2 linked regions of the Struthio camelus genome follow. The main gene of each other region encodes a partner of the protein of the gene in region 2 in a complex. Links are inferred from orthologs where the notes say so. Each region holds a gene or a part of one and is shown on either strand. Other genes may lie near its edges.

Region 1 (10,632 bases), on a different chromosome or scaffold from region 2:
ATTTGAAAAGGTTTTGCAGTTAAAGCAGAATTAGTCTTTTGTCTTGCAGTTCTCTTAATGAATTTCGTTTCCAAATTTGGCACAGTTGCTCTCTGGAGGACAATTGAATTTTCTAGGTCATTTCCCAGATGAAGTAACTTGTTGGTTTTCCAGAAATTTATATTAAATGATTCACAGCTCGATATGTGGAATCGAGCAAATTAAAATCAAGTATTTCTCTTTAAGAGGTGTAAAATCAAGTGGCTGGAGCACAGCGCGTTCTGGCCCACCAGCATATTTGCCCCATGCTACCTGGATGTTGAACCTGCATGAAACACTTTAGCGGAGCTAATTGCTTTTGGAGAAGAATTTGCAAGCTATGCTTGCAGATGATGTCACAAAATCTGACCGTGCTGAGATACAGGTAGCTGAGCAGAGTTCAGACACAGGCTGTCACTTCCCCATCCATGAGCTGGCACAGAGTGGATGCATAGCTGTACAACAGAGGAAGAGATCAAGTGAATCTGTGCTTAGAGCCAGTGCACTTGGCCTTCTGCGCCTGTGGTGCCGAGTTGAGACGGTCTCGTGGGACAGCGTGGTGGAGTTCTTCAAATCATATTACATTCACACTGGGTTTGCACTTGAATTGTTTAGTTTATGTCTTACCTTGTTCTCATTTCCTAGCTGTGATTTATATCCTAGCCTTGTTCTAGTTTCCCTGTCCTGCCATATGTAGCAGGCTCTGGATGTGTTTATATTCTTCTTCCTCGGAGCTGTAATTAGAAGTGCTCTGAGCACGTGGCTGACCTGCCCTGAGCTGAACGTGCTGTACCTGCTGTTGTCATTCCTCCTCCCCCTTAGCATGGCATGGCCTAACAAAGGAAGGAGCTTGTCCTAGATAGAAAAAAACAAAGCCATTTTTATCTTTAAATTCATAGGAGAGCCCAAAGAACCAAACTTGCGCATGTCAAATGATTACAGAAAAGGGATGGAAATCTAGGAGCGTCTTCAGAGGCTCTGTTAATTAGCCGTCTCTGAGGTGAGAGAGCCGTTTTCCCAATGGGCAGGCAGTCAGATTTTCCAGGGCTGCTGCTAGAATCAGCTTTCCTCTTGGCAGTTCCAGCAGATGGGCCTAAGGCTGGCAAGGTCAAGACTGAGCTGTTGCCGAGTTAGATGTGTGGTATAGAAATGGCAGTATGGAGGACTTGCGCGCTGCAGCTGCCCCTGAAAAACTTCTCTGAACCTAATCTGCTACAGTGCTAAAGGGGATTAATCACATGAAAAGTTGCTTTTGCTTTCCAGTCCCCTTCACAGTCCCTGTCAGCTCTCACAGTTACGGCATGGGCTGGTCTGAGGCCCGCTCCGGACAAATGGCAGGGCAGACAACTTGAAGGGCAATATTTTCAGGCAGTCTCTCATTCTGGATGCCTGGCTTGACTTGCTTGGGGCCTCATTTTCAGAGGAAACGAGCACTTATGCATCAACTCAAGTAGGGCACCCAGAATAAGAGGCCACTTTTGAAGATTTTGGCAAAAGCATTTTCGTTTATCTCTGCGCTTCATTAGACTCATCTCCAAAGTCTTTCATGTAATTTTCTGTAGTGAAAGGTGATTGTTTCAGATCCATCATTTTCAGGGGAATTTAATCCAATTCTAAGTCAAGCTAACCCACTTTGGTAAAGTTTGAAGAGCAGTAGAAATTCATTTGTTAAGAAAATCTGGACTTATTTCTTAAATCTGGCCATTGATTCAGAGTCCTTAATTGTGTATGCACAGCGTGATGCGTCTTGGGGGTGATTCCGGAAATGCTGGGCATCTACGTTCTGACCTTATCTGTAGGCTGCAAATGCTCAGCACCTCTGAAAAACCGTGCGGTTTGGTAGGACTGTTTTTTTTTTACTTGCAATAGTCACTTTTTTTTTCTTGTTAACTTGTAGAGGCTTTTTTCTATATGGCGTTCTGCTCAAGGTTTCTGACAAGCAGGCGTTTTCCTGTTTTCCTGTTTATTGTTGTAAATTTGAGTTACTTTCATTTGATTAATTATGTAAAGAATAAAAACACATTCCTCTATCTGGACAGGACTATGGCAAAGACTCTGGTCTGAAGCAGCTTTGTAAGAGTTAAAGCTGCTTTCTGTTAGCTACTGTGTTCTTGCCACTTACACAAACCTCCATAACTGAGCATGCTTCACAGCCTCCTGTGCATATCCCTGAATCATTCTGGCAAGCAAAAACACTGCCATAATTTTTTATTCAGACATAGTGCTCATTCTTCACTGGACTCTGAAATGAGCAAGTGCTTGAATATAGCACACGTTTCATGGGAGAGTTCAGAGGATTTACCAACTCCTGTCTGCACAGGATTTTGAACATGCAAAGGGCTACTGCGTATGAATGCTGAGTGGTATTAAATATATTGCAGTGTTTGCAAGTAGGTTTCTGCATACAGACCTAAGCCATTCCCATGAGGGAGCAAGCGCTTCACGGATTTTGCACAAATCACTACCCTTCTCTTCAAAGGATCTTCCCCCCATTGCTGAATAGGTGTGTAGTGTACTTTACCACAATTCACAGCAGGAACCCTGCTGGTTCTGAGCAGCGCTCAGGCAGTGTAATCTTTCTGCCTTCCTTCTAGATTTTACCTTTGAGTTATGAGGGAGGTTCTGTGAGAATGATTACAGATTAATATGAAATTGAAATATGACAAATAGTAGAATATTTTCACACACACTGTGACAGCCCAGAGGGTTTTGCTGCTTGTTAAACTATGGTGTATGGTTTGGCTAGAAATACATCATTGAAATTATAGTCCCTTGTGGTTTGAGAAGGAATCATCACACTTCAGCTACACCCACTGCTATCTTCTGCTCTGATCTTGTCATTGGTTACAACACCTTCCCTCCCTGATGTGCACTTATCTCACTTTATTGCGGGGATGTGCTGCCAGGATTCTAACAATAAAAATTATAGATAGTCCTAAGCCTGTGAAACAATCTGTCCTTACCGCACAGTCTGAACATCCTGCCCCCACTTAAGTGCCAGCCCCAGTATTTCTAAGATCAGGTGCCCCCAGATTCCCCAGCTCTCTTTCTCTACCATCCCCATCTCTGCTCCCTTTGCTGTGATGTGGGAGCTGGTCATCCTCCTCCAGCACTTGGCAGTTGAGTCTGCGCCCTCTCTGGTTTTCAGTGCCTTGTCCCTAAGACTCAGTATCATTTAGCAGAGCCCTAAATAAAAAAAAGCCCTAAATAAAAAAGAGTAGAGCTTCCTTGCTTCAGAGAAAGAGAGAATATATCGCTTTCTCCAGGAATGAGGAGAATATTAACAGCAGGGATTTTTCACTACCACTTCTTTAGTTCCATGAGGCTCAGGAAGAAGGATGCGAAAAGTGTGATCCTTGCTCGCCGTTGCCAGAATAACCAAAGAAAATGGCCTTTGGCAGTGGTGGAAGACTGAAAGGCTCTGGTATGGCATCGCTATCAGCACTTAGTTTCCCTGTCATGCTTCCTCTACACCAGTATGCCTCATAGCCCTGTCCCCTCAGCTAAATGTCGGCATTGGGGACAATCTCTTTGGGAGTGCTTTGCTGTCCCCAGTGCCCCTGTGCGGAGCTGAGCGGTGAACTCGAATGGCATTTCGGCAAGGAGCTATTTGTGGAACATCGGTGCTGTCCAATAATCAGACATGCCAGTGGAGCAGAGCCACTGCCTTAGGTCATGGTGCAATTTTCAGTACCAGAAGTTTCTCCATCTACAAATTCTTGCTGGGTGTGGTAACTACACCAACAACTCAAATCCTGCCTCATGAGAACAGTATTTCTGAGCTCCTGTCTGGACTTTGCTGGGAATCGTAGAGCTGCGTAGTGTCATGTACGACGCTGGGCATCTGAGCTCTGCAGGAGAACCACAGAGCTTGGTAACATGTTGCACCCCGTTCAGCGCTGTAGGAAAGGGTTGGCTGACTTTTTCATTTCCTTTCCATTTTTATTTTAAAGACGTTGTGAATAAACTTCCAAACGTTGTAGCAGATGGAAACCCATTGCATGAGCACTAATTGTTTTTTATTTGTACCTTTATAGCTCCTGGGAGCCACTGTTACTGCGGAGGATTGAGGGCACTAGGTGCTGTACACGCAAGGGAAAATAGGTACTCTCCAAAAGACCTTGTCTGTTTGAAATGTGCTCTAATTACTTTGTTTACAATCACGCTATAGAATGCTTTGTAAAAGGTTGCCTGATTTTACCGCTTTTTCTTGCTAATGTTGGATTTAGACGTGTATCTGATTTTAAAGCAATGATGTGACGTACCACCTTGCGGGTTCGAGGTTAAGAATTTTTGAGACGCTTTAGACCGAAAAATGGCCGTTTACACAGAGGCTTCAATTAGAAAAAAACCCAAAGTATTTCATGAGAATATTTTTTTGTGTGGGTATATCCACATATATCTGAAAGATTAATGTAGATTCTCTGATTCAGTGGGTAAATGAATATAACTGGTTTTAAAAATACTTCATAATCTGTTTCCCTCAGGAGGCTGAAACTGCTGTACAAGACTGGAAAGTATTTTCTACACCCTACAAATTTTCACAACTGTTGGCACACTGTGCCAGATGGATTAATCTTTACTAAGGCGTTGGTCTAAACGGCAAAGTTTCCAAAGTTTAAGAATTGGATTGAGGATTTTGGTTTAGCCCATCTCTTACCATTGTTGCATAGGGTATTAGATACTTTAAAATCTGTATTTTTAAATTGAATCATGCCTTTTCAAGAACATAGTCTTACAGTCCATGGACAAAACTTTATACTTAGGTAAAATCAAAAAAAGTTTTCCTTTAACGAGGATAACGAATTGGACTGATACTTGGGATCCATTCTGTTAAGATTTTACATGTCACTGTCTTCTCTTAAAAACCACAAAAAATGAGGTAGGAAAAAGGCACTATTCAGCTTGCAGATCTATAACTATGTACTTCACAGTATTGCAAAGAGAAGAAAGTTACTTCCTTAATCTTGTGGCAATCAGTTTACACGTTGCTACGTGAAGTTTTTATCTTCTATATTTTATTACACATGACTTCCCTGTATTCTTATTTTTCACAATATTCATTCATCTCCTTTAAGAAATAAACAACTGAATTTATTTGAATATTCATCTAATCCCTTTAAAAAATTAATGACAGCATTTATTTTATGTGACTTCCAGGGTTAACTCTGTCTGAAACTCTCAAAACCCCGTAATGCCAGGGTTAAGGCTTTAACTTTTGGCTGACACACTGGACCAGATTTACTCGATTACAACAATGCAATAGTACTGACGATAACGGGAGACTAATGTCGTTAGTGAGACCAGAATTGGTCCCCTGCCTCTGGTGCATGCTAACGTGCACTCCTTCCTCTTCCTGGTGACAAGAACAGATGTGGACTTAAATTTATATAGGTGTTGTGGTACTGAGGCTGTGATGCTGAACTGTTTGATCATGAGCAAATCTTTCACTCAGATGTGCAGCAGTTCCCCATATGTAAAATGGTGTGCTGATGTTTAAATGCTGTGGATTGAGCAGAAACAGATTAAAATGTCTATGACTTCACATAAAGAAAAGCAACATGCATGCATGCTAGCATTTTTGCAGATACCAGCAGCAGCTGTGTCATTTGTGCAGCATTGTTCTTTTAAGATGATTTTTATGTAGGGCTGGTATTTTGTTAGTTTACTAAAGAAGAGCCTGACCATTATGAATTAAAAAACGCAGTAAAACAGAATTTAGATGAATCACTCAGGCAAGGTAACAACAGAATTGGCCTATACTTACCACCCTCACAACTAGGAATGTTTCAAAGCAGCTGGGATGAGAGATACGTTTATTTAACTGGAGCGAGACACAGCCGTACAAATGCAGCAAGATAAAGCTTGTGCTGAAAAGACACGGTAGCATAAAGCAGTCATGGCGTGTAGGCAAAATGGCACACGCGTAAACAGCGCGTAGCTGCACAGGGAGGACAGACAGCTCAGGTGGTCGCACGCTCTGCTTGAGCGGCTCTTCCTTTGCGATGATGCCTGGAGGGCAGGGTAGGGACAGGCGGCGAACTGGGCGGTAACTGACCCTTCTGTGAGCCGTTTCGAGTTGGGCCGGGTGCGGGGTGCAGGAGAGGAGAGGAGCAGCCGCCGCCGCCGCCGCCCGGCCCGGCCCTGCAATGCCCGCGCCCATTGCCCACCTCCACCTTTGCAGCAGTAAAATGCAGCACTCGCAGCGCGCATGCGTCCCCCCCCCCCCAGCCGGCGCCCCGGGATGGCTATTTATAGCAAGTGACGTCACCTAGAAATAGAACGCGGGGGAGCAGCGCCCCCCTCCCCTCCCCTGCAGTCCCCTCAACTCCGCCCCCTCGTTGCCTTCCTAGCGCGCAGGCGCAGGCGGCGGCAGCAGCAGCGCGAGGCTCCGAGCCGGGCGGAGAGGCGCGAGCTGTGCACGCCGCGGAGGGGACGGAGCGAGCGCGCGGCTACCCGCCTTGCCGCGGCCAGCGAGCGCGAGGCGCCCAGCGTCGCCTGGCTAGCGCGGCCGGGGTGAGCGGCAGCTGAGACGAGCCCAGCGGTCGCTGAGCGAGCGAGCGAGCGAGCGAGCGTGAGGCGGCGGCGGCTCCGTTTCGGTTCCCTGCGCGCAGTCGCATACTCGCACCGCAAGCCCGCGCGTTTCGAGGCGCAGGTTCCCCCCTTCCTCTCTCTCTGAGGGGCGCAGAGTGCCCAGCCCGGCAGCCACCACGGAAGCGGCCATGGGGGACCGAGAGCAGCTGCTGCAGCGAGCCCGCCTGGCCGAGCAGGCGGAGAGATACGACGACATGGCCTCGGCCATGAAGGCGGTGAGTGGGGCTGGCAGCGTGGCGGCTGTGGGTCGTACCCGGGGAGGAGTGCTGCCGCGGGGGTAGTGACGGGGGAGGATGGGAGAGGAAGTGCGGGCTGGGCCGAGGCGGAGTTGGGTCCTGGGGAGGGTGCGAGCCGCCAGGTCCCACCCGTCGCCCTGAAGAAAGGGGGGCGGGAGCGAGGCTGTTCCGCTGGGACGCCTTAGCGCCGTGCGGGGCGGCGCCGGCTGCTACCTGCCTCGGCGAGAGCAGCGATGAGTAGTAGCCGGTCCAAAGCGGACCCAGGTTTCCCCCTCCCCCTTCCTTATTTCTTTCTCTCCCCTAGCTGCTCCTTCGCAGCCCTCCCGCTCCCTCTGCTGTCCCTGCCTCGGGGGTGTGGCTGTCCCCTCTCCTCCCCGCTTGCCCCGCCAATCCGGCGCGCAGCAGGGCAGTTTGAATGCTGCCCGCCTCGCCCCTGCGGCGGCGGGAACCTGGCGGAGCGTCTCCCCACCCCAGCCCGAGATGCGCGTGTCTCCCTGCCCCCGGCCGCTGGGAGTTAGCGTGGGATCCCGGGTGCGACCTTGGGGTGCGTTTCCAGCCCTAGCCGGCTGGCACACACGAGCAGTTGGGAGGGTGGGGGGAGCCTGGGAAAACCGCGCACGGCAGAGAGAGCCCCTTCCTTTTCTAGACGTTTCTTTCGCCTCACGATAAACGCCCGAACAGAGGCCTCACCCACAAACATGGGTGCTCTGATTCAAAGACGGTGTAGTACTTGCATTCGGGTATAAAAGCCGCACAGTGCGTAAAGTCCGCTTCCCGAGCTGTAATGCTGCCTTTTTGCCTCTTCTTTGTAGGATAAGCATTCTCACTGCATTCCTTACACATATGAATACTGAAATGTGTTTAAACCACAAGGTACAGTCGCAATTCAGCTTCTCTCAAAACCGAGCAATGAAAGTTATTTGTACTGACCTGTCTGTACTGGTACATAAATAAAATTACAGAATGGTAAAACGTAAAATGTCTAGTCCCTTTTTCTTTAAACAAAATACTCCCATCATCTGAATTTTAAAGGTAATGTTAGTAAATGTTGAGCAGTGTCTTTGCTGTATCTGCTTACAACTGATTTTAGAGTCTTGTTGATCTGTTCTTTGTGAACGCCAAAAGGCCCCAAGAGGTATTGGGTTTCCCTTGAGAACGGTGCTGTTTAAAGACATGAGATGATTCTGGTATGAGAGAGCAGCTTTAAGGGGGTTGATTCTTACGACAGAAATGGTCTTATTTTCAGACTGATACATGTCACATTCCTTAAGCGAGGGCTGTGAAAAGACCTTTATTTTACTCTGGTTTTTTTAATTGTTAGTCATTTATAACTTGATGGTATTATGGCATTGCATATACCAGGACCAACCCAATTCTAAAGCAGAAATACTTTTGAGTATCTCAATAACAAATATACTAGGCATTAAAATGAAGAAGCTGCGTTTTAATATGTTACTAGAATTCGTGATAGTTATATTTCCACATAACCACTGAACTATGGTGTCTGTGTGGCTCCCTGAACATACATGCGACAAGAAATGAGCAGAATAAGAGTTGCTGCGCTTCAGGATATATGTAAATAAAGTGTATCTATAACTAGTATGCATGTCTAGTTGTCTTTTTAAACTGTCCAAATATTGTTTTACTTCACTTCATCTTGAGTCACAATATTCTCTTTGTTAATACTGTTTTTGCTCTCTAATAAGGTGTATAATGATGAGCTTCTGTAATTGGAAACTTGTTAGCACTTCTTAAGTGAGCTGAATTTTGAGTATTTATGAAAGAATGTTATATTATAGACATTATACTTCAAAAAAAAATACAACAAGCAAATTCAGCAAAGCTGAATTTAAAGGGCAACAGTTTAACATTTCAAGCTGTTCACTTATTGTAATTGTGTGCCTATAATACCATATCTAGTAGTTACTTAAATGCCCTTCATAGGTGTTCGTTCTAACATGGTAATTTCCAGAACGCTCTTTTAAAGTTTGATCTAAATTTTGCAAGTCGGAGCTTAAGCTGCTATGAAATGTTATTATGTGGGCTGTCTGTTCCCACGCCACTAATTTTTCCTTCATTTTCAGTGATTATAAACAACAGCTGTTTAGAGAAATTTCTCTCTGTATAGAGTAAGATATCAAAAGTATCTTTTATGTTGCAGAGATGGTAGACTTCCTTCAACAGGAAATCAGTGTTGTAACTCAGATACCTATTCCCAAAGCAAAATGTTTTGATTTCAAACGATTCTTAAAAAAAAAAAAAAACCCAAAAACAAAAAACACGAAACTCTGGACTTAACATATCTGATGTTTTTAAAATTGCTGGGTAATTGGCATGAAGGTGCTGTATGAAAACAGTGTGCTTCTGTTATAGTAGAAATTTGAATGGGCAATTTCAGTTACAGGTATTTATCACCATATTTTTACTATGCATGATACAGCAAACAGCCTTGCAGTTGCTCCCAAAACATGAAGTCACAGACTATTTTAGCAAAAGATCCTCACTGAAGAGGGGGGGGGAAAAACAAAACCCCAAAACCAAAAAAAAAACTACGAAGACTGGCATTTTAGATATTGGTATAATACTGGGGAAACACTTGTTATTTTCCAGTCTTTTCAATTAATTCTTCCGTAGAACAGCCAGATGAAGTAACAGTTGTAGCTTAAATAAGGGAACTACTGTTTAATAGTAGTTTTATTTGTTGCTTTTGAATTTTCTTGGAAGAATTCCAGTATTGCTGCTTATAACATATAGACAGGAAAGGAGAATGAAGCTTTCATGTAGATTGCTGTGAATGAATTTAATTTACTTTTTTGTAGCCAAAATTTTCTTTAAGAAAAATACAAGCATATGTGAATATGCCTTTAGTGAATGGCATTCTTCCAAGGGGTGTGGCATGCTCATTGCATTAAACGTTGCTCTTAGGATACCAACAATTTGAAATAGCGTTACATGGTAGGTTAGAGATTGCTTCTGAACAAAGCAAATGCTGAAGCTGTGTGTGGGAGAAAAATATGCTTTTAGTGTAAGTGTTGCTGTTTCTCACTTGTCTGAACAAATACTTTAAGCATATTGGAAATACTGCTTTGAGTGCTTTTGTTTTAGACCATTCCAGAAATAACGATTGTGTTGATTGGGAAATAAATATTAAACAGTTAGACTATTTTGCTGTCTAAACCCTTAGTATTTCAGACTCTGAATTCCGATGTGTAGTGCTCAGGAGTTCCATTCATGTATGTTGCTGTTCTAGTGTAGCTACATAATAAGTATCTAGGCATTTATACTTCAGTTGACTCAGGTCCATCTTAACAATTTCTAATGCGAGGATCTACAACTTTAAAAATTAGTCCTGTAATACTGTTTATCTGGGCTTACCACTGCAATAACATACTGGTATTGCTGGGTATGATCTTGGGATTTTTTTTTTTAAAGCAAAATAGCTGGAGGTCCTGGTTTAATTTGTATACTTTATCTCTGTATGTATATAGACTTAAAGTTTGGAGTGTTACATGTTTTTAGTGCTGTAACATCGAGTTCTTCACTTTCAACATCAGTGCCTGATTTTGGTTAACGAAGTATTTGTCGGGGGGGGGGGGAGGGGAATGAGATGCCCTTATTATAAACAGTATCCTCCCCTACTGTGAGATGACTTCCTTACTGTGGCTTGATACAATAAATCTAGTTACAGAGCTTCTAATGTCTAATGGAAAACACTGAAGCCACGTGATGCAAAAAACTGATTTGATTTAAATTCTTTCTTCTGGTTCCTATTTATTCAGAAGTT
Region 2 (10,183 bases):
TGAGCAAGAACAGGGCTTCATAGGTAATATACAGGATTAATGGACTTGGCCGTCCATGTCACTCCCACTTACTCCTGTCAGTGGTGCCATTACAACAAGATCCTTCCTGGTCTCAGGGGGACGGTGGGATTGTGTGGCATCCCCGAAGGACTTCAGAGGATCTGACACACACGCTCAGGATAATGCAGATTCCGTATCCTCACTGCAGATGCCTGGAGGCTTAACACCATTCTTTCCTATTGGCTATCTAAAACAATGTTAGCGATTAAATCTCACTTCTCTAATCACACTGTAATATTATCCCTTCTAGGAACAAGCCATACCAGTATAAATACTACAGCATAAGCAATTTTATGCTACTATAACTGTGCTCACCTGAGAGGAATTCCACCTTTCTGACAATCCAATCTGTGCAGATGAGCACTGAAAATTTTCAGAAATATTTCTAGAAGGTTACACGCTGTCCCTCTAGTAGCAATACAAATCTAATACTGAAAGCAAAGATGCGAGCGCTAGCATGCACAGGCTTTCTGCTGTCATGCTCTGAGTAGACCTGAACAGTATGGTTGCTAAACCAAGACATCCTATTGGCCCTTATGTTTCCCTCTTGGTAAGGCTGCGTCAGAGGTGAGGGAGCAATTTCAGAGTACTTCAGAAAAAATTCAACGTAGACAATTTTTTTTGTCCATTTATCAGGAAAGAAAAGAGAAAGTCTTCTGCAAGACTTTTGCAAAGGAGAAACTTACTGAAGAGGCAAATGTTGAATGGCACTGTTATATGATAGTATTGCTCTATGTTCATTTTGAAAGAGTGGGCTTAAATATGTTTAATGAGCAAAACTATGCAGTTGCCATAATTAATACAGAAAGGATGCAAAGAAAATTATAAGAATACTTTAAAATCCTTCTTCCATGGAAAAGCCTAACCCAAACAGCTTGTCAGGAGCCATGCTTTGTGCATATTAAAAGAGTACTCTCTAGCACAAGATACAGGATGCATGCGGGAGCAGCCTGACATACCTTCCATCTCAATTGTCCATATGTGAGTAATCCCATAGGGCAAATATTTCATTCACATTCTCTTTGCCTTCATTTTATGATGTGGATTTTCCCCTCATGGCCATTTACTTTTCTCCCTCTGCTGAAAAGCAAGAAGACTGGAGTCTCGGAGTCTGCGGCTTTGTGTTTAGTCACTGCCTACAGAGTCACTGCAGATGGTATCTGCTCAGTCCTACCAAATGTTAGATGGCAAGTATTAAGAACAAAAAAACCCTCATAAAACTACTTCAGAAATGCTTTACAAAATAAGCCCTGTGATCCTAGTGGGAATGAGAGGTGACAACGCAGTTGAGGGTCCTACTCCCAAATTTTATCTAATTTCCGCTTTAATTTACAAAGTGCGTATTTTACTGTCATATAGGGCAAGGGGAAATGTCTGTGCTTCCAAATTCCTCCAAAAAGATCGTTTCATAGAGGGCCTGGCCCTTTTAATTATTATTTTTATAAATTTGTTTTAATCAGACTGTTCCAGGGCAGGGAAGGCTTATTTTCTCAGTGGGGCTCTGTGTACAAGATAGACAGGATTAAAGACCAGGACCAGTCACTGAATAAGAAAATCACTGAGTTGAGAGAAACAGCTGGAGATATGCCAGAAATTCTGGCAAGAGATGCTTCAGTGAGTGAGTGCATTCACTCGGATGAGGGGGCCAGAGGATAGCTCTTGAAAAACAGTCCCTGAATTAGCTTTCAGTCTTGTTATCTGGCAGTGAACGTTACAGCTTTCACAAGGAGAAGTATGTTTCTCAGTCCTGCCCAGTGTCCTTACAGTGATGGCATACTGGATGTTGCTGGGCTGCGTAAGAAAGATTATCAGGGCTCTGGTGAATGAAACCTGTTACTGAAGGCTTGAAATGTTCTTTTTCCTTACCAGCTATTGCTTTTGGCACGCAAACAAAATTGACAGTGCAAGAGGTAGGTTGCCAGCAAAGTAATAATGAGAAAAAGGATTGAACTTAGCTTAACTTTCAAAAAGTGACTGATTTACATTAATGGTTTGCCAGGAACAAAGAGAATGTGCTGGACAATTTGCATTATGCAGAACAATTGCGTATCCAATGCACAGAGAAGTGAAAAATGTGACACAGGCTCAATCCTGCAAAGAATTTTATTCTTTCCACTGGTTGGTGAAGACTGCTAATACCTTTGCAGGATCAGGCCTTGTCTGAACTGCTCTTTAAACTCAGGACTTCAATTCTTTGAGCAGTTAATGGAATAAGGTCAAACTATCAAATAAACACTACATCTCTTGGAGGTGCTGTTTACATCTTTCTTCAGAAGTCATTTGCGGCTCCTTAGTAAGTTGTACTCACTACCTTTTTTGTGTCCTCTTCAATAAAATGTGTGTAGCTCTTGGCAATGAAGCTTATGCGCTCATAAAATCTGAGTAATTTTGTGCTAAATTCTAATTAAGAAGTTTAATTGAGCCTCGAGTTGCTACTATGTCTATGTGAGCAGCAGCTGGGGACCACCTAATCATTAAGAGATCTGTGCTACTTTCCTTTTGTTTATTTAAAGAGTTCTTTGTGACACTGTTCTTCCCTTATGAGAAATTTCCTTGAAATATTGGGCAGTGAATGAAAATAGCATGTAGAGCTTTTGGCTACTCCCAGACAACCATCTAAGTACTCTGAAAGTGATATTGAAGCTCTCTCTTTCTGCCTTAGGTCAAAATCCTTTCATGTGCTGCACAGAAAAAAAAAGCAAAAATTCTTCTTTATTCTTGAAAGCCTTTAATATGAGAAAGGCTAAACTGTCACAAGAAACATGTTATTATTAGAGAGATTTCACCACCATTATTTTTCACCATGTCCTTCACTTTCAGACTTTGTTATATATCAACAAATCCAATGTCTATCATCTTGCAGTGGTAGAAAGTGGCATTCATGTTAAGATCAGAGCCCTACAATGAGACTTTGAGCTCACTGTACTGGTAAACATCCAGAGCAACTTTGCTGTAATCATTAAAGTTATTCTGGTGTAACTCAGATCAGACTTTACATAAAGTGTTCAGTGCCAGAGAAGAATCAATTGCACTAGAGTAAATTAAGCAGTAACTCAGAAGGCCAGATTTTTCAAATGTCATTCCCCCGCCAAAGCCTATTTAGCCAGGCTTACATATAATTACAGCACACAATAGTCTAGCTTCTACCATATTTCAAAGAGTTTGCATCTTGGTTTTGTTAAGGGCCCAGTTCTGCTGAAACAGTTTCAAGTGATAAGATTATTCCGGTACGCAGGGCTTAACCTTGGAAAACAAAGAATGATTTGAAATACGGAGTTCACCCTTCCTTCTCTTCGGGCATACACATGCACACACAGACAGCTTTCGCTTTCCTCACATTTTAAGCCATCCAAACCAGTAATCTTGCTAAGCAAAGTCTATATTCACGTTCTGATATTTTTAGGAAGTCTTTCCTAGCACAATACCAAGTACCAGTAAATGTGCTGTTTTCATTCAACCACTGTTCTGTATCTGCCCCCTACTGGCGAAGCGTGACACGTTCAAGAAACCCAAGGCCAAAATACCGTCTATGCACACAAATTGGACTCTTTCACCTAAACCACTGCAGTTCAACAGAACAGCTTTCTGCTGTTGTTGCTCTTCCCACACAGGTGTAACAGCTTTTGTTCTAAAGGCTGCACCAGCAGAAAAAGTACAGAGAAAAAACACACCCGAAATGAAAATAGTTGCATTGCATTCATACAACATCTGTCTCGGCCACTTCTAACACGCTGATGAGATGCGGAAGCAAAGAAAAGCTTTCTCACCTCCCAAATCTATGTTTTTTCAAAACCAGCTTTATAATGGTTTATTAGAGGAACCTGGCTTCCACTGAATTCTCACCAGCTGGTATGTATCTTTTTACTTCTCATAGATGATTTAGATTCCTTTAAGATATCTATGATATTTCCAAATAAATTTGGGTGCACATCTGAAATCACTTAAGATTAAAAGTATAGCAGCATTCTGAAAAGGCAGGATTGAGCAAGCAGCAGTATCATGGCCAAGTAACATGGTTTGGGACTAGCCACAGACACGTTACAGTTACGCAATCTGTATCATGTACACAAGTGTTGGCCGAGATGTGCGTTTCAACCAATGGAGATGTATCAGAGTTTATTTTCAATGGGACAGGAAGTCCTAGTTTACATCACCTGGCTTTGCTGAGACAGAATTGGGCCTGTTGTATCAAAACAGAAGCTGAAACTCCTAACGTTTTACTTCTTCACATACCAATGTAAAGCACAACTTGCAGACATTTTCCCATTGTACGTTTGTAGCACATGCGGGACAGTGCTCTCCCCCCCCCCCCCCCCCCCCCCGAGGAACAACGACCTCCAAACTAGGGCTCATCATCTTAAGTGTGGACACAAACCAGGAGCTGCAAATAAAAGTGCCAGTGCACCCCTGCTGGCAAGTGCACCCCGTCAACACTGTTTAAACGAGAGGCTGATTTGGGGTTTTTTTAGACAAACCAAAAAATCTTAAACCATTAAGATGTCTGAATCTGTTCCAGAATTAGACTTAAGAGCTGAACTCATCCTTATTTATGGCCTAACTAATGATTTCTGCTATGAATGCTCTTGAACTCTGTGAAAAATTAAATACAGACCTGAGTTGAAATCCTGACAATGCTGAAGTTAAAAAAGGTCAAAATTCACTCTTTGGCTGTGTGTCCTGGGCCTGTTATGCTAAGTGGCGCACACAGCAGACCTGAGCATGCCTTGTGAACGTTAGCTGCTTATTTAACATATGGTGTGACGCTGATACGTTCCTCTGTGAGATGCTGATAACACCCTTGTAAGCCAGAATGCTGCTGAGCACACTTGGCTAAATTGCTCCAGTTAAATGCTTTAGGCTAACAGGAGGAGCCAAAATTCTTACGCAAAATCTGTTCTCATAAATTATCTGACTCCATCAAAGATTTTTCCTCACAAAAGTATGGCACCTTGTTCTTGAGCAGAAGAACGTCAGCCTAGCACGACAACGACAATCCTTACAGCTCTCCACGTTTTCCACGAGTTGAATCTCGCTGGTTACGTCACCTGCCCTCTGCGCTGCGGTAGCCTCCTTTGCCGAACCTGCAGCGTCTGAAACGGCCGGCCGAGAGCCCTCCGGCTGCCAGAGCACCTCCAAGGCCGCCGACAGCGCTGCGCCGGGAAGCTTCAGGTCTAGGAGAGAGATGGGGAGAGCACAGACAAAGGTGTGTGCAGAGTATTACGCAGTTAAAGGATTTGGCAAAAAACCACGGTATGACCTGACAGCGTTTTGGTTCTGCAGATCCTTCAAGAGGATGTAGCCTTTCACCTGGCATCTGCATTACAAACACAAGAAAGGGGGAGGAGGAGGGAAGACAAACCAGAATTAGACCCCATCCAACTTTGATTTCTGTTCCTTGTGTAGCAGAGCCTTATGAAGTAGTCTGACCTCATCTGACCCTATTAGAGTGTAAAGTAATTGCATATCGTCCAAAACAATATCTTTATGATACACCTTTTGGAAAATCTTTTCTAGAGATGCTTATAGCGCATCTATGGAAAGCAGCATTGCAGCCAGGGAACACACGCCCACGCGAGTCAGGTTCCTCCGGCACTTGCCTTACCTTTCCCTTCTTAGTGGGGGCACAAATAAGCTTCACGTTTTAAGCAGATGTTATGAGAAAATGTAAGATATTAAATTTTATAAAGCAGCACAAGCACACTTCCCGGTGAAGTCCTTCCTCGGGCAGGCAGGCAGCTGTCCCCATAAAGGCCGAGGCGCTCACCTCCCCGGGAGCCCCCCGCCTGGGCGGCCCGGCGTGGGGCGGGGCGCGCCCCCAGCGCTGCGGGCACGTGAAATTCCGCGCGCGGGAAAAGAAAAGGGGGGCGGGGAAAGTTTTTGTCCGGCCAGACGCCCTGGGGAGATCAGGTGGTTCCTTTATACCCAAACGCTGTCTGTGGGCCAAGAAGGCAGGACAAAACAAAAAAAAAAACCACTTTTAGTCTCTGCTTTGTGCCTTAGGCACGGACGTACCCTCGCCGGGCCCACGCACGGCCGGGCAGCCCCCGCGTGGCCGGCAGCCCCGGCGGAAGCGGCGGCGGCGGGGGCGGAGCGGCGCGGCCATGGCGGCGGGCGGCGCGGAGGAGCGGCGCCGGGTGTCGGCGCTCTCGGTGTACCGGCGGGCGGCGGGGGCCGGGCGGCTGGAGCGGCGCGGCGGGCGGCCGCTGCCCGCCCGCAGCAAGCGGGCCAAGGCGCGGCCAAGGCGCGGCGCGGCGGGAAGCGGCGGCCAAGGCGCGGAGGCGGCGGCCAAGGCGCCGTCACCCCCCGCCGCCGCCCGCCGCCTGCAGCGGGCCCAGGCGGCGGCCGAGAGCCCCGCGGGGAAGCGGCGGGGCGGCCCCACGCCGGGCCCGGGCGGCCCCACGCCGGGCCCGGGCGGCCCGCCGGCCGAGAGCCCCGCGCCGGGCCCGGGGCCGGGCCCAGCCCCGGCCGGCCCCGCGGCGGCGGAGGGCGGCGGCGGCGTGGCGGGGCTGCTGGCGCGGCTGGGGCGGCTGGAGGACAGCCGGCAGCGGGCGGCCGAGCTGTTCCGGTGGCTGCTGGCGCCGGTGTCGCCGCGGGAGTTCGTGGCGCGGCGCTGGGAGCGGGCGCCGCTGCTGGTGCGGCGCGGCGAGCCCGGCTACTACGCGGGGCTGTTCTCCACGGCCGAGCTGGACGCCGCGCTGCGGAGCGGCGAGGTGCGCTTCGGCACCCACCTGGACGTGACCAGCTACGCCGAGGGCGTGCGGGAGACCCACAACCCCGCCGGCCGGGCCCTGCCCGCCGTCGTCTGGGATTTCTACCAGAACGGGTGCTCCCTGCGGCTCCTCTGCCCCCAGGCCTTCTCCACCACCGTCTGGCAGTTCCTCTCCATCCTGCAGGAGCACTTCGGGAGCATGGCGGGCGCCAACACCTACCTCACGCCGCCGGGCACGCAGGGCTTTGCCCCCCACTACGACGACATCGAGGCCTTCGTGCTGCAGCTGGAGGGGAAGAAGCACTGGCGCGTTTACGGCCCCCGGACGGGAGCCGAGGTGCTGCCCCAGTTCTCCAGCGCAAACCTCACACAGGCTGAACTCGGCGAGCCCGTTCTGGAGGCGGTGCTGGAGGCCGGGGACCTGCTGTACTTCCCCCGGGGGTTTATCCACCAGGGTGACTGTCTTCCTGATGCGCACTCGCTCCACATCACGGTGTCGTCCTACCAGAGGAACTCCTGGGGCGACCTCCTGGAGAAGCTCCTCCCGGCTGCTCTGCAGATGGCCCTGGAGGAGGACGTGGAGTACCGGCAAGGGCTTCCCATGGACTACCTGGGATACATGGGGGTCGCCAACTCGGACGTAGTCGATGCTCGCCGAACAGCTTTTGTGGAGAAGGTGCAGAGTCTGATAAAGAAACTTATCGACTATGCGCCTATTGATGCTGCCGTGGATCAGAGAGCCAAGTCATTTCTTCACGACTGTCTCCCCCCGGTGCTAACACAAAATGAAAAGGCGCTGAGCGTGTATGGATTTCCAGCCCGGTGGCAAGATGGAGGCACCCGCGACGTCGATATACTAATAACGAAAGACACAGAAGTACGCCTCCTCCGGCATGGCATCATTAGACTGTGCAATGAGGAAGCTGGTGTGATGCTGTATTACACGACAGAAAACTCACGAGTGTATCATAAAGAAGAGTGCAAGTCCCTTGAGATAGATCCCGAGTATACAGACAGTATTGAATTTCTCCTGTCTTCTTATCCAAACCATGTCAGTGTGGATACCCTTCCATGTGAAACCTTGGAGGACAAGATTTCTGTAGCCACACTCCTGTTTGAGAAGGGCATTCTGACTACTAAGAAGCCTCTGGTGCAAGTGTAGCTCTATTCTTGAACAAAATAAACATAGAGTTGTTTATAAAGTATTGTCTCCTGCTCTTACCTTACGTCTGCTGCTGAGTGTGAATCAGCGCTTTGGATCTCCGTTTCTGATCTGAGGGTAGAAGGGCTTTGACCTGGGTAGACAAATCAAACATTGTTCTCATTAAAAAAGTGTCTTCTGTTGAACTGTGCACGGTTAAGTGACTAGAGAAGACGGGTGCTTAATTTGTTTTTGCCAACCATATTACTGCATCCTAGGTAACTTCAGGAAGCTAGTGAACTTTTTTGCAGTCTGCAGATCAGCTGGGTGCTTACACTGTTTTAAAGCAGCCTGTGTTACTGTGGGAAGTACTCTCATTACTTAAAGACATATTTGCGGATGGTCACCTAGGAGCCATGCCGAAATTTGGGCTAGCTGGACTGAATTAGAATAGGGCATTCTCTAACAGTTTGTTTTTCCTTGTGTCAGGGTTAGGGGTTTGGAAAGGCAGCTGGGATGGAGGGTGGTGAAGGCTTTCTGCACAGAAGATAAGTTCTCCCTTGACCTTCATATGCTACTTCAGAATTTGGCTTTCATGAATCTGAATGCATGAACCTTACATAATTTTGCTGTGCCTGTTAGGGAGCTACTGACTGACTAGTAGTGCCTCCTCTCGCTGCAGAGGGAGCTCAGAAAACCAAGGGATGTTTTCTTCTGTACTGGCGTAGTTCAGATGAGAAATAGCTCTAAAACTTTTGTATTAGAATTACCAGGAGTGGACTGAAAAACAGCAGTGATCCTCTCCAGGATGTCTTCGCATTCAGAGTCAAGGTCCTCCCTGCTCCAACAGATTCGATTGGCCTTTTGCCGCAGCCAGTCCGTAACCTCTTCAAGTTTCAGTAGTTTCTGGGTCACCAAGTCCTTTTGGCTTAGCCTGAAAATCTGGATCAAATACATTGGCAGGTGAGTGTGACAGTAAGTCCTCTCTCTTAATTGAAAAATTATATTTGGTGCAAATAAATAAACTATTGTTTGGGCCATACAAGTCACAGCACGTTTGTTTCACTCTGACGTGTCATGGGAGAAGCCTAGGTGAGATTATTTACCTCAATAGTTCAAAGTCTTGCAAGTTAATTTAAATCTTCAGATGTGAAAGCACCTGATAAATTTGCTGACGCTTTTTGTGGAAGGTGTCCCCCACTTCCCTGGAATTCCTTTGCTAAGAAAGAAATGATGCTTCCTGTGAGGCAGCTAAGTTATTGTGGCATATAGAAAAGTTACAATGAGTGCGATTTATGTTTCTTCTATACCTAATCAGATGTACCTAATGCTCTGTGGAAAACTTTAAATGCCTGTTAGTTTTCATGTGCTTCCCTCCCCACCCCCAAGCTTAGATATTTTCTCCGAGATGGTAAATACTGTGACCTTATGCCTGGCCATGCCCTGGCGTAAGAGTACCAGATTGAACCTCATGTAGTTCCTAGGCAGTTGCAGAATACCAAAAAAACAACAGTAGTTTTTCACTGAGCTGCTCTCCTTACCTCTTTCTTGATCTCTCTAATCATTTCTTGATCTTCCTCATGGGGAAAATTAAGGATTTTCACAGCTTTTTCCACTTCTCTAAATATAAATGAAATAAAATATAATGATGTGTTATTTGCACATAGCAAATTCTTCAAAAGGAAGAAAGAACCTCAAAAAATTACATGCTTCCTAGATCCGCTAGGTAATACTTCTTTCCTCCAGCTTGCCCTGTAGTGTCCCTATATGGGGTTTCAGCAGGGAGGGCTGAAGGAAATGGCAGTTTGTCCCAGCGTCTCTTTGAGGGATTACAGTGCTCCAGCCTGTGTTACCATACAGACCCTCCGAGGTCCAGCTCTGGTGTGGGTGCTACGGATGCCCTTGTTTGTTCACGTGGCACAAGTATCTAGAACAGAGCAAGAAGTGGCCCTGTGCGAGCTGAGCAGTTAAGGCTGGTGCCCACACGCTGGTTTCGGGTGGGGTTTGGCTTGAGAAGAGCAGAATTGTATAAAAATAGCTTAAGGGGGAAAGGGAAACAAAAAGGAAAGTTGAGGGAGATGCAAATGACTGAATTGTTAGCTGTTACCAGGAACACTGGTGGTGAATCAGTGTTTACATATTCAAAATGTGGTTTTCTAATGGGCAGACTTAAGACTAGTGCATCTCTCTTGGCTCAGATTCAGCAGTTGCCCTATTACAGTGGTGGGGCTGGGATGCAGGCTTTGAGGTGAGAACTTTATAGTAGATAGTCT

Evidence for each region. The genes of interacting proteins can lie anywhere in the genome.
Region 1: the proteins of NUMB (region 2) and YWHAH are in contact, whole or in part, in a crystal structure (PDB 5YQG), measured with the Mus musculus proteins. The link is inferred for Struthio camelus from reciprocal best matches to the Homo sapiens genes NUMB and YWHAH. Residues at the interface, in NP_001129547.1 of Mus musculus: Gln274, Gly275, Ser276, Phe277; in NP_035868.1 of Mus musculus: Arg57, Arg132, Tyr133, Leu177, Asn178, Val181, Glu185, Ile222, Leu225, Asn229.

The regions. Positions count from the first base shown.
Region 1 is NC_090958.1:8,471,443-8,482,074, forward strand, and holds the start of YWHAH (14-3-3 protein eta), read left to right. Parts: upstream 1-6,084; 5' UTR 6,085-6,740; coding exon 6,741-6,827; intron 6,828-10,632. UniProt on the Homo sapiens protein: Adapter protein implicated in the regulation of a large spectrum of both general and specialized signaling pathways. Binds to a large number of partners, usually by recognition of a phosphoserine or phosphothreonine motif.
Region 2 is NC_090946.1:43,242,453-43,252,635, reverse strand, and holds the start of NUMB (protein numb homolog), read right to left. Parts: upstream 5,030-10,183; 5' UTR 5,009-5,029; intron 1-5,008. Other genes in the region: RIOX1 (ribosomal oxygenase 1), read left to right, coding at 6,162-7,931. UniProt on the Homo sapiens protein: Regulates clathrin-mediated receptor endocytosis. Plays a role in the process of neurogenesis.